2 linked regions of the Drosophila melanogaster genome follow. The protein of the gene in region 1 interacts with the protein of each later gene in a pairwise test. Each region holds a gene or a part of one and is shown on either strand. Other genes may lie near its edges.

Region 1 (5,085 bases):
CGTCGGTCTCGCCAAAAACTCATGTGTAAACAAATCAAACTTGAAACTAAAGCTTAGCCCCGAACATTTCGCAATAATGAGCAATGCTCGGGGGCCAAAAGAAAACTTGTTCTTGGTCCCGAGCAGTGGGGCAACAAGTGCGACAGATGATAGAGCCAACTTTGTTAAATCAGCTTTAAGCTGCTGCAGCTATTTGTAGTCCACGCCGTTTGCTGCCAAGCTATGTTGATGTTTGCCAAGTTCCTTCTTATTTCGAAGAAACAAAGGTCCATTTCGTGCCACCGCAACCCATCTGCAGGAATCACTTGACTCGATTCCGGATTTAGCCGAAGAGTGTTGTTTAAAATGCGTAACCATATCCCGGCCATGAATTTATGCAGTCAACTGTGTAAAAGGCGTAAAATGTCCAAAGACCATCAGTGACATCGAGGGTGGTGCCTTGGCTTGGCGGGGCATTTTGTTTTGGTTGAAGGAAATCGCCGGAAGGACTACTTCTCGAGTCGCATCCAAGCGGCGGCCTCTCATTTATTTCATGCTCCATTGCATTGCGATATGTGTCAGGAACCGTGCAATCAGACACTGGAAAAAATTAATGATAAGAAGTTTAAGACAAGGTAAGCCAAATATAATATATATAATATTTAATCTTTTAGTGGTTATCTCAAGCTTGGAACGGAAATAAGATCATTCCGTGAGGCACGCTGACTACCGGCAAAAATCGTCGTGCTTGGAGCCTCAATGTTTCCTCCCAGTAGTGTCATAAAAAACCAAAAAGAAAAATATACATTTGTTTCCTGTGCACTAGGAATAACAAGAGCCTGGGATCTACGTAAGCCAGTGTCTTAAAGACAGCGTTTTTCCAGATCCATCTGGGACTTGTTTGGCCAGCTCACTACTCGCACTCGTTGTTTTTATTCAATTACCAATTCGAATTCGAATGCTGTCATAGCCTCACTCCAGTTCCTCGCAAGCAGCTGCAGCCGTTTGTCTTGCCAATTGGCCGAAGCCATCAACAAACCGAACCCAAGCGGAGCATTATTGTAATTCAGGCAGCTACCAACCAACCAACCACTCGCTCTCGATTTTAAATTGTTTGGAAGTAATAAAAAGTTTATCAAGTGTAAAGCGAAAAACAGCGCACGAAGCCCTTGACTTTCGGCACTCGGTGTTAATTGTTTGAGCTTTAAGTTGGGAAACGGTGCCACATTTCAAGGACCTGGTAAAGTAAAGCTCCCAGGGCTTTATTCAAGGCGAAAGTAATGCAAAACAATGGGCTCGAAAACCACCCACCAACACAATCACTAGCACAAAAGCGGAGAAAGAAAGACGCACAACAAATAAATCAATTGGCTTTGCCTAAAACGTTTGAAATTGATTTCAAGTTCTTTGGCCCATTGTTTTTATATGCAACAAAGGGACAATTTTTCATTTCCAACGATAACAATAAAAGCAACACAAGGTCCTTTTCATGGTGGAACACACTGGGATAGACACACACATGCGGTCGATCCCTGGGCATGTAAATTGGCCGCATTGTTTATGAGCTCTGCTATCCTGCGTGTCCTCCAGCCTCGTCCTTCGAGGGACTATTGATTGTCAATTCAGTTTAAGCGCCGCCCATAAATTCAGTAAATGAGCAGAGGTCCAGCCGAAGCTGCTGCCATTTTTCTTAATTTGCTGAAATGCACAAAAACAATTTTCGATTTCCACGAAAGACGCCCACATCGCGAATTCGAATTCAATGGTTGATAGTTTGCTATTATCCTTAATTTCTACAATATTTTTATTCTTTCATTTCATTTACCTAACACATTTTAAAATATCCTTTAGATAATCTCTAAAATATAGTCACTTGATTTGATTTAAAAACATTTTTAAAGCTAAACGATGAGGTAATATTACTTATCATTCTTAAACCCCCAGCCGGAGAGCCAAAAGGATATCGAGTTGCACTTCAAATGTTTGTGTGCCCTACCTTTGTTTGGTCATTAGACCTGACACGTTGTCAACACGCAACAACTGCCAACAACTGACAGCCGTCAACTGTTTATGTTTGCCATTTAGCAGGCAAAACATTTTGATTACGCATACGCCATGTGGATCGAAGCGACGTTTGTTGCTTTGACAGGCGCCTCGAATTCCATTCGCCCATAAATAAAAGTCATCTGCTGGTTATCAGTCGATTGGAGATGCATTCGCTGCTTGTTTGTGTTTCAGCGCTTTGGTTTTGTCAGCTTTGCGAAGCGGCGATTGGAGCTCAACTCTGCAAGGATTGTCGTGTGAATGTGATATATCCTAGTGGCGGAAGAGGCAACCATCAGTTGTCAGAAAACCGTCAAATAGTTAGAATCATCAACAAATACAAGCCAATCAGAAGGCAGGAACTGGAATATCAAAATGAGATCGGGATGAGCCACTTGCAATTCAGCTTTATTGCGAAGATAAAGGTGGGAAATGCGGTACGATGCAGTGCGGCCTTGGTGGCTCCCAGTTTGGCCATCACCTCCAGTAAGTGCTTTTCAAACGACTCTTTCAAACCGCTGCAAATTATCTTCACCGGCGGAAGAACTATCGCTGTGGATAATGTAGTCAAAGCGGATTTCTGTCCTGAGCTTAGCATTCTTCACTTGAAGAGGCCGTCTGAAATCAATCCAATTGCCCTATGCCAATATGACGTACCATTGGGCACAAGAGTATCAATGATGATGGCCACTTCGGATCTCAGATATTACGGCCGTCGAAGAACTGAAATAATCTCAAATCGTGCCTGCAAGACAACATTCCTGGAAGAGGATTCAGTTTTTATAACTCCCAGTATGCTGTGTGCAAAGAACTCAATGAATCCGGAAATGTGTGCAACTTCTCCAGGTGATGTCCTACTTATAGACCATCAATTATGTGGCTTAAACGTTTATGGATTTCGCTGTTTTCAAAATGCACTCAATGGTGATCTCTACATAAGTCTAGGCAAACTGCAGCCCATGATCGGCGATTTGATCCGGAAACTTAATGGTTTAAGTGAAGAATTTAAATCAGTTACGGGGAAAGAAACCTAATTGTTGTGATTTGAGACTGAATCGGTTGAAATGTCATAATGCAGCTTAGTCAGCTAGTCATAATATTAGCAGTCTCCCGAGGATCAGTTTACGGATCTTCTGAGACCGCTCCGCAGTTTAATGTGGGTGAAATACCCAGCAATGGACAGCCCTATCAGATAGTTCGTGTTATTGAGTATATAGTGCCCTATCCCTACCAGAGATCACCGAAAATTTCCGCTAGATTCTCAAGCGGAGGCAACAAAGAACCCAACAGCCTAGAGATAATTCCCGCTGAAATCGAGACTCTCCTTACCGATGGACAAGCCACAACAGAGGCACCAAAGGCAGTGAAGCATTTCGTTATGCGAATCCTTTATGAAAACAAAGTCATTTGCAGTGGTGCTCTAATCTCCACTCGTCTGGTTTTAACCTCCGCCCTCTGTTTTCCCAGGACTCTGCGTCAACCTCCACCTCGTTCGTACAAACTGCAGGCTAGTCGGAGTCGGATATATTCGGTGGCCAATCTAATTACCGGCGCTATTGAGGACATGGCCCTATTACTGCTCCACGCTCCACTGGAGGATCCCTTCGTCCATCCGATTGATCTCTGCGAGTCACCTCTCCGAAGGAATGACAATGTAACCATGTACATGTCACAGCAACATCTGCGTTTCCTGCGCACCAAACTCATTCCCAATAGCAATTGCAAAAGGAGCTATGCCCAGGATGAGAACGCCTTCATCACGCAGACCATGTTGTGCGCCCTTAATTCAAACCGATTGGTGGACTGCCAGACGGCAAAGGGGGATGTCCTCCTCCACCAGGATCGGTTGTGCGGAGTGGACATTTACGGGCAACACTGCTCCGATGGTGGTGTCAATGGAGAGCTGTATGCGGACGTCTTTAAGGCCCGGACTGAACTGATGCACTTGATTGAGCGTTATTCGAATTAAATGATTTAACAGGGAAATTGCCGAATAAAAAATACATTAACTTAGTTCCTTTCCAATGGTTGTTGAATAAAAATTTTTCAATAACATCTGAAAGTTAGAGAGTGAACATAGATTTACTGTCGCGATTCAATGTTCGTGCGCTGCCCAAATCGAATCAATCTCACTAAACAAACACTGAAAACAAAAGGGCAAAAAAAATCGCAAATAAAATCAGGGGATGCCGCCTTCTGTTGGTCGCGGGCAAAATTGAAAGTCGCCACCAACAAAATCAGAGAAACACAAAGAGCACAAGCGATGTTTTTTTAACATTTTATTTTCTTTCAATTTGCGGCTTAAAAAGTTAACTGTTTCCATCAAAATGCCCTGAACTGCAATGACTATGATGTATGTAAATTTGAGCGAAAAAACAAATGGCAAAAAACGAAAATTGCGAAAAAAAAAACACACAATAAGAGACACAAGCGCCACCCAAACCCTCTAAAATCATCATGACAGGAAAAAGGTGTTACACTTGGCTTGAAATTTACACCGTCGATGGGCGGGGCAGCAAGGGGGCCTCTGCGGCAAAAAGAGGAAGAGATGGAGTCCTGCGAAAAAAAAACCCAAAGCTTCACCGGCGGCCATGGATACGTAGCTGGCTTTTGGCTTTGCCTTTGCGCTAAAATATGCAATTTTGTCATGAAATATGCACATGTCCACCGCGCGGCAAGGACGAACCGTCGTGACACCCACCGCCACCCACCTACAGCAGCACTATCAGCGGCGGCAACAAAATAAATTTAAAAGGCAACATACATAAATAAATTAAGCATTTAAAAACCCAGCGGGAATAATGAAAGCTATAAAAGGCTTAGGCAGTGCGAGTCTGGAAGTGCCCTTTACAAGGATTAAGGTAATTATAAAAAACTTAATGGGAGGTAGGTATGAAACGCTGCCAAGGAAAATCTTTGCCATATAAAATGACAGCGAATTAAAATAGCTCTTCAATTGAGGTGAAGACAGGAATGATATATGTACAGCCCAAGATATAATCCAATCAAAAATTGACCAAATCAGCTAAATCTATAGTGCATCCAGAGTATCTATGCGGTCTA
Region 2 (7,985 bases), on another chromosome or scaffold:
AAAACGAAAAATCCAAGCAGCCAAACAATGTAAATACCAATCCGCTGGCCAAGTTGGATACGCACCTGAGATCGGGAAAGTTCAAGGCTGCCATCCGGCAAGTGATTATGGCAATTTCAATCCAGTGCAGGCAACTCCGGGTAATGCTTCCGCCTATGGGCTGATCGGTTGAATAACCCCAGATTTATGTACGCCCGACACCCGTGGCAAATTAGGGTCAAACATGTGCAGCCACCACGGAGCTCGGCTCGAGTTTCAGACTCTACTGGCTCAGCATTAAATTCAGGGTCAATTGGCACTTTCAAAATCGCACAAAGCTCGGATTGAGTCGGACATGGATTCTGAGCAAACTTGTCAATCATTGTAATCGCACTACTACCTATACAGTGCACGAAATCGGGCATTAGTTGTGAAAATACATACATTTAATATGTGATTGGAAAATATACAAAATACTGTCAAAAATTTGTTATGTATACAATTTTAAATGGAATGATATTGTATTATATGAAAGTTATCCTTTTAAAAAGTTAAACATATAATATTTATTTCTGTGCTGCGATGAATAATCTTTGAATAATAATAAACCAATTGAGTTATCAATTGTTCAAACTATTGTTTTTGCGAGTATTTGTATATGGTGCACGTTGATATATATCTGTGCGACTTTTGCCATGCGTATAACGCTGCCGACTGGCAGTCCGACCTTTTTTGGGGGGCACTTTTATGGAGCATGAGAAACGGAGACAGATATCATTGCTTTTAATTGCCCAAGCTGAGCGCCTAGGCCTAGGTCAGTCTGTACCAGAATTGCAGTCCCCTCCGCTTCGCTCCACTCTACTCTACACTTCAATCCAATCCAATCCACTCCACTGCGACCATAATTAATTTAATAAAATGTAAAGCAGCAGCCTGGTCTGAAAAAAAAACTTGACTCATTCTCGGCGCTCAGAAGCGGCGCTTTGAGCGAGATTCGAAAATCGGTTGACTCACAGACTTGAGTTCAACTCGTTTTTGTGGCATTCAACGGCAAGCGAATAAAAGTTCGCCGTCTCGATATTCTATGATCAGTTTACAGTCTCAACTTCACCCAGGTGTTCCAGTTTCATTTGAAGTGCTTCTCTCGAGGATTAGCCGTTGAAATAAGTCCAGATCAAAGTGAGTGAGTGTCGTGTGTTTGTGCGAGTGGGTGCTTTTTGGAGAACCGAAATCCGATTCGGTTGTGTGGGATCGTAACCTTGACTTTGGCTGAATCAACGTATCAATTTGGACTTGGAATATGTAAATGCATTTAATGGCGCATAATAAAAATGCATGTACAGTGGCTGTGATCATTAAAAAGTAGAAAGGTTTAAAGAGTGTATAATCTAATAACGAATGTCACATTTTCAAGGATTATATCAGGGTTTCAGTTCGAAGTGAATATATCAAAGCCTAAAAAGGATGATCATGATTTAAATCAATTTCATTGCTAACGTATTCTTAATTAATACATTTGGTAAATGCATCTTCGATAATGTCATTATAACGTAAAATAAAAAATAATATTTTCACCAATCCTTATAGCAAATTACCCAATTGCAATTAAAATCTCAAAAGAGTTCTAGAGAGACCACTGTACTTATATCTCAAGCTACGATTGCTTTGTTGCGACCAAATTGGAGCACTCTACGCTTGACAAATAAAGCTCGCCATTTAGTTCGCGGCCAGTCCAATTCTTATCAATAAAAAAAAGCCAGTTCCAAGTTGCAAAAAAGTTCATGGATTAGCAACTGTAACAGTTTGAGCCAAGATCTCCGCGTTGCCCACTCCATTGGCCATATGCGATAATTGATTTTCCCGTACATAATTTATGACGCACGAAACTGACAGCCGACTTGTAGATTAAAAACTGCCACTGACCAGCGGCAATAAATCTGTCCGTATCGCTTTATTAGAACGTTGGACAATAATGCCAGCTCCTGCTCCTTTTCTCCCCTCCAGCAGCCAATCATGCCGACCGCCTGCCAAGTAACGCTGCTCGCTGGATGCCTGCTTCTGGCCATGAGTTCGGTTCGGGCCCAGTTCTTCTACCACCAGGCGCTGGGTCTGCCGGTTGCGCACGCTTACGAACCGGCCAATCCGTACCAGGGATATGCAACAGCCGATGCCCATCCCTCGGTGGTGCGAAATGCCCAGTGGGAGTCTGAGTTGCCGGCTGAGCTGTCGAAGAGTGCGCGGTTCTACAATGATCCCGTGATCGCTGCCAATCTGGCCAAGGAATCACTGCTCACGAAGAAGGAAATGGCAGTGGTACATCGTGAGGCGGAGAAAATACCGCGCGAACAGGTGTACAAGCTCTTCAAGAACGCCGGCTATCTGAGTAGCAGATAGAACTCACGATGCCAGATGAGTTCCGTTCCCCACGTGCCTTGTTGTATTTTAGCTTGTAAATTGTTAATATATTGTACATAGTACTCTACATATTAAATGTTTTTTCTATAAATGACCGTTTGATTATAGTGACTGATAGGATGATTTTGGTATAAAAGTTGGATTAAAATGCTACACAAGCGTTCACTGTATATACAACTCGGCTCCGTTTCCTGGTAGAGTGGCAAAGACCACTTCGCTAAAGTTGTTGGGCTGATGACGCTCCAGGAGATGTGTTGGCAATTGAGCATAGTAATCGCGCTTCAAAACCTTTATGTACTCATCAGCTGCTTCTATGGAATCGCACATGGCAACTATACAACCGCCCCAACTGAAAAAGAATAATGTTGATTAAATTCATAGAGTCACTAGGATATCGGTTTTCTTACCCAGCTCCAGTGACTCGGGCGCTAACGTTCTGCTGGTTCGATATGGCAATCAGGCGCTCTACATCAGGATGAGAGCATTCGTATAGCTCCCTTAAACTCTCGTGGGATTGCCGCATGAGCTCACCCAGCTGTTTTGCACCTTCCTTATTGGCTCCGCCGGCGAGTTCCTCACAAATTTTCCGGAATTTGGCCACGCGACCGGATTCTGTTAGGCGGAAACAATGTTATTAACTGATCTTGCAATTTAATATTATTTGCTAAGAGTTTAAATCTTTCGGACAACAAATGAATGTCAACGTATTATTAATTGACTGTAATTATTCATTTGGTGATCAATAAATTTAATGTACACGTAATGATTCAGATTAAATGTGAAATCCTGATTGTAAATGATTAACTTACCCTGAATAACATGCAGAGCACGTTGACGCAGCTTGAACTGCTCCATGTGCCGAGTGTTGGCGGATAGGAACTTGGTCTCCAGTTCCTGTTCGGTGACTCCCAACTCCTTGCAGATATCCGCTCGCGTGTAGTTGCTCTTCGTTAAGTTGTCCTTAATCAACTTCTCGAAAGTCTCATTATCCATTTGGCACGCCTCCTCTAGATCAATGAAGCGCACAATATCCTCCCAGTTGATCAAGCCCTTGCGCTTGGCCAGCCATCTAGTGGCCAATCGGCATTCCACCACTCGTTCATTGTAGTCCGACGAAGCAGCCTTGTTCTTTTGAGCCAGACTGTTGGCCACAACGAAGCACTTGCCCGCTGGCAAGGTCACCGGAGTGCCCTTGAGCTTGGGATGGAACTCGATGTGGTGGGCGCAGCCAACTCTGCCCAAATAGGCTATTGCCTGATCCATACCACCACTGTGCGTTCCAATGTACTGCTCACACATGGCCGAAATGGAAGCCAGCTCCCTGCGATCTAGTTTCTTGCCCTGGACGTGTGCGGTGGCCAACACAGCGGAGCTGACCATGGCACTCGAACTGGAGAGTCCTGCCGCCAAGGGCACATTACCGTCCACAGCAATGCGCATGCCAATGGGCTTCCACTGGCTGCCCAGACTCTCCTGTATTCCTTTGATGCCGCACAAGAAGTAGTTATACCAAGCGGGTCCACCACTCTTTGGAAGCTCGATTCTAAAATAGCAAAAAAATATTTGGACTTATCATTTCTAAATTCGTTTAGATACCGCCTTCAAGGTGACATTGTTATTATAACAAATTAAATGGAAAATTTTCTAGTGCTTAAGGTCGGTAATTATCATGTTTCTGATTCACCCACCTGAGCGTTTTGAGATCGGCATCGTAGCCCGTAAACTTCGCTTCCTCGAGATTTCTGAGTTGAAGCTGGCTATCACTAGGATTCTTGGCCACTGCAAGGAAAATGCTCTGGCTTACAGCCATGGGCAGCACCGAATAGCCGCAGTAGTCCACATGCTCGCCAATGATGTTGACCCTAGGAGAAGGAGGAGATATCATCGATAAGGGACTATAGATGTGCACCACGAGTGGAACTGCTCACCTTCCTGGCACTCGAACGATAAAGTCCGGATTCGCTCCGAATTGTTGTTTGAAAAATGCGGTCAATTGCTGCACGCGCCCGTAAACCTTGGATTCCGGCTGGAGCTTCTGTGGGGCCACGATTTCAATGCCGGCACCCAAATCCTGAGCAGTTCCGTTCCCGTTGGCAGTCATGTTCACCTGCAGGCGGGTGAAACTTTAATAATGCCCATTATTTTCGCAGTCGACGAACCGTAAACGTGTCGCAACTGGTTAATCTAAATTTATGGGCAAAAACAAATTTACATACGTAAACAAATAGCCGTGGCAAAGGGAAAAACAATTGCACCTGTGGTTGTGCAAAAATTAGCTTATCAACCCATCTCACCTTATCAATATGTCCAAATAGCTATTAGCACACAAAGTGATGTACTAACATTGCGGTTATCAGTTGGGGAAACGGCATCAAAGTCACTAAAACATTAGATTGACGCCAATTTGACCGCTTAATTGGGCAAAAAACAAGTACAAAAGTGCAATTTCTGCCGGTAAATGAAAAGGAAGGGTGTGCGGGAGCGAGAGGACTATAGCCAACAGCTGTTATTTAGGAGTTGCCAGGCTTGCAGAAGCATTAACCCTTGAAATGCGCAATGGATAAAGATTTTATTTTGAATATTTATCCGCGAAATTGATGTTTATGTCTAGTCCCAACTAATAGTAAATTATTTGGCAATAAAGTTCTTAGCTGGTAATTGTTTTTCAAAAGTACTACCGCTTAAACTTACTGCCGCATAATCTAAATAGACCATTAATGACAAACATGACATTTATCTTATCTCGAAACCATAAACTTAACCTGTATTGAGCTTACCTTTTGTTTACATACCAGAATAAACACAGATATAAAGGATTTTGTCAAGATTTTTACACTTTTGCCGATACATACCCAACAATGCCTTATCTTTCTCTGTTTGAGGTCAAATTAACTTGGTGCCGTCTTATCAGAGAGGAGTTCTAGTTTTCGGTGTGAGCACGTCGCGTTCCATCAAGCAACTGAGCAATCCGGCCCGTTCCGTTTCCGTTTTTGCTTAGTCCGGAATACTATGAACAATAAAGTGATACTTCCTTATCAGTAGCATTACTGAAATATAAATGCTCGGAGACCTTATAGAACACCAGTTTCCCAGCTAGCGATGTTGCACTGTGTGTATCAGTAGGAACTTGTTGAGAGCTTTGTTAGTTTATAACTAGCTGTCTTTACCGTTAAATGGGTCAAACATCTTCATAGCATATGAATTCTTTCTTGTTAGCATTCTAAAAAACTGGTTTCCAAATTTTGTCTGCTTTAAAAAGTGGTTTTGACATCCACTTTGCGAAAGGTTATTACCTTGCTTATTATTTTGCCATTAATGTGAAGTATTTACAAAGCTGATAAGGTACAAGTGTTTCGGGGAGCTCATCAATTTTTTCGTAGATAAACTTTTAAAATACTTAATTGATTAAAATGTACAAACATTAAAATATACAACTGTTGTTGTTTCAGTATGGTACGGATTTTCGTCTTTGATTGCAAAAGCCTAAAATATCCGTTTTGGAATTTGAAATGTTGACTGTTGCGGTTAGGCGTTGCCAGACAAGGGCATTGCCAAGTGCAGCTCTTGAACCAGCGCTGCCAGCTGGCGTCAGTTACGGTTTTCTCGATTACGGTCACACTGCAATACTTCTTCGTTGAATTGGAACTATTTTTTTGTTTTCGAAAACGGATAATTGCGAGCAACGACTGTGTGAATAACCACTTGCACCTGCACCGTAGGAGCACCACCTGTTGACCCCACAGCGAAGACAATCGGATCAATGTCGAGTTTACAGCGCACGATGTTGAAGGGCAAGCTGCCACCCACAATTCCTGGCGGGCGCATTGGCAGAGCGTAAGTGCAGGGTATTCTGCGACTGGAGTGGGGAGTACGCAATCTCTACCCAATTTGGCTAATTACAGGGACTCGTTCAAGAAGTCGCGCATTCGCGACTACAAGCCGGGCATGTGGAACGAATTCTTTGCGGAGAAGGAGGACGTCACGGTGGATGAGCAACGCACCTTCCGCATCTATCGCACCAAGCAACCGGAGAAGCCGGGTCCAGTTCTCCTTCTGCTCCACGGCGGTGGCTACTCTGCCCTCACCTGGGCGCACTTTTGTGTGAGTGAATGCGATATATTCTGTTAAATAGTCTTAACATGTACATATATCCATTTAAGTCTGAGGTGACCAGCATGATCCACTGCCAGTGCCTGTGCATCGATATGCGAGGTCATGGGGACAGCAAGGTGGACGACGAGGACGATCTCTCCGCTGATACGTTGGCTAAGTGAGTTGAATCCAAAAAAATATTGTTCTCAAAATATGTTTTAGAGATGGTTATGCAAATTTTTCTACTGCTTACATTAAAAACCAATATTTTTAAGATTTTGTCGAGTAAAACTTCTCGCATTAACTCTTAGCTTTATGAACGATTAGGCTAAACTTGCATAATCTCTTTATTTATAAAAATAGCGCACTGCACTTAAAGTAGGTCGATCTATTTGAACGATCACTCATTTGTAAATATTATTTAGTTTTTTATAGTTACTTTATTCACGGTTGAAGCTAAAAACCATAATAATCTAATCTATAATCTATAATAATGTTTAAAATATTCTAAACAGGGACATCGGTGACTTAATCCTGAAGCTCTATCCTGAAGAAGTGCCGCAGCTTTTTGTGGTTGGCCACTCGATGGGCGGCGCCATCGCCGTCCACTTTGCCCACATGGCTCTGGTGCCCAATTTGATTGGAATAACCGTCATCGATGTTGTGGAGGGCACAGCCATGGAGGCACTAGCCAGCATGCAGAGCTTTCTGCGCTCCCGTCCAAAGTATTTCCAGAGTATTCCGAATGCTATCGAGTGGTGCATCCGAAGCGGCCAAGTGCGCAATGTGGACAGCGCCAAAGTGTCCATGCCGGGACAGATAATAAAGTGAGTAGGATTGTCGTAAACGACAGAAAAGTAATAATAAATCAATCCCACGCAGTTGTACAACGAACAAACTGGCAACGAATGATCTGCCATTACCAGATGATGTATTGGAGGAGGCCCACCACAACAGTATGTTTCCCAATCCGTTTAGCATTTCGGAGGATGAAGAATCGTCACCGCCGGGCGATGACGCCGCCGATGGCTCCTCAGAAAGTGCCGCAGCTGGCGCGGATTTCAAGAAGCCCAACACGACCAAATCGACAACCGAAGCGGCCAAAAAGTACGTAGTCCAATTTATTTTATTTTAGTTAAAACACAAATTATTCATTGATTGCTTCTCAGTTACACCTGGCGCATTGATCTGTCCAAGTCGGAGAAGTACTGGGTGGGCTGGTTTTCGGGGCTGAGCGATAAGTTCCTTAACTTGCGCCTGCCCAAGCAACTACTCCTCGCCAGCATCGATGGACTGGACCGCACCCTGACTGTTGGCCAGATGCAGGGTCGCTTCCAGATGCAGGTCTTGGCCCGCTGCGGTCACGCCGTGCACGAGGACCGTCCACACGAGGTGGCTGAGGTGATTAGCGGCTACTTGATCCGGAATCGGTTTGCAGAAGCAGCCAGCGAATTTCGTTGCCACATGCCGTCGTGCTAAACACAACCACCCCCTGAATC

The links.
Region 2: the proteins of intr (region 1) and Galk interact in a two-hybrid assay, tested with the Drosophila melanogaster proteins (one large-scale study listed by BioGRID).

What each region holds. Positions count from the first base shown.
Region 1 is NT_033777.3:28,787,428-28,792,512, forward strand, and holds intr (intrepid), read left to right. Parts: upstream 1-3,094; coding exon 3,095-3,991; 3' UTR 3,992-4,034; downstream 4,035-5,085. Other genes in the region: CG34295 (uncharacterized protein), read left to right, coding at 2,190-3,056.
Region 2 is NT_037436.4:8,980,731-8,988,715, forward strand, and holds Galk (galactokinase), read right to left. Parts: upstream 5,362-7,985; 5' UTR 5,247-5,361; intron 5,087-5,246; exon of another isoform or gene 4,689-5,086; intron 4,579-4,688; exon of another isoform or gene 4,502-4,578; 5' UTR 4,496-4,501; coding exon 4,323-4,495; intron 4,257-4,322; coding exon 4,083-4,256; intron 3,938-4,082; coding exon 3,204-3,937; intron 3,007-3,203; coding exon 2,802-3,006; intron 2,744-2,801; coding exon 2,557-2,743; 3' UTR 2,374-2,556; coding exon of another isoform or gene 1,993-2,373; 3' UTR 1,482-1,992; downstream 1-1,481. Other genes in the region: CG13314 (uncharacterized protein), read left to right, coding at 1,993-2,373; CG5068 (uncharacterized protein), read left to right, coding at 6,155-6,228, 6,297-6,495, 6,555-6,664, 7,002-7,313, 7,369-7,593, 7,656-7,965.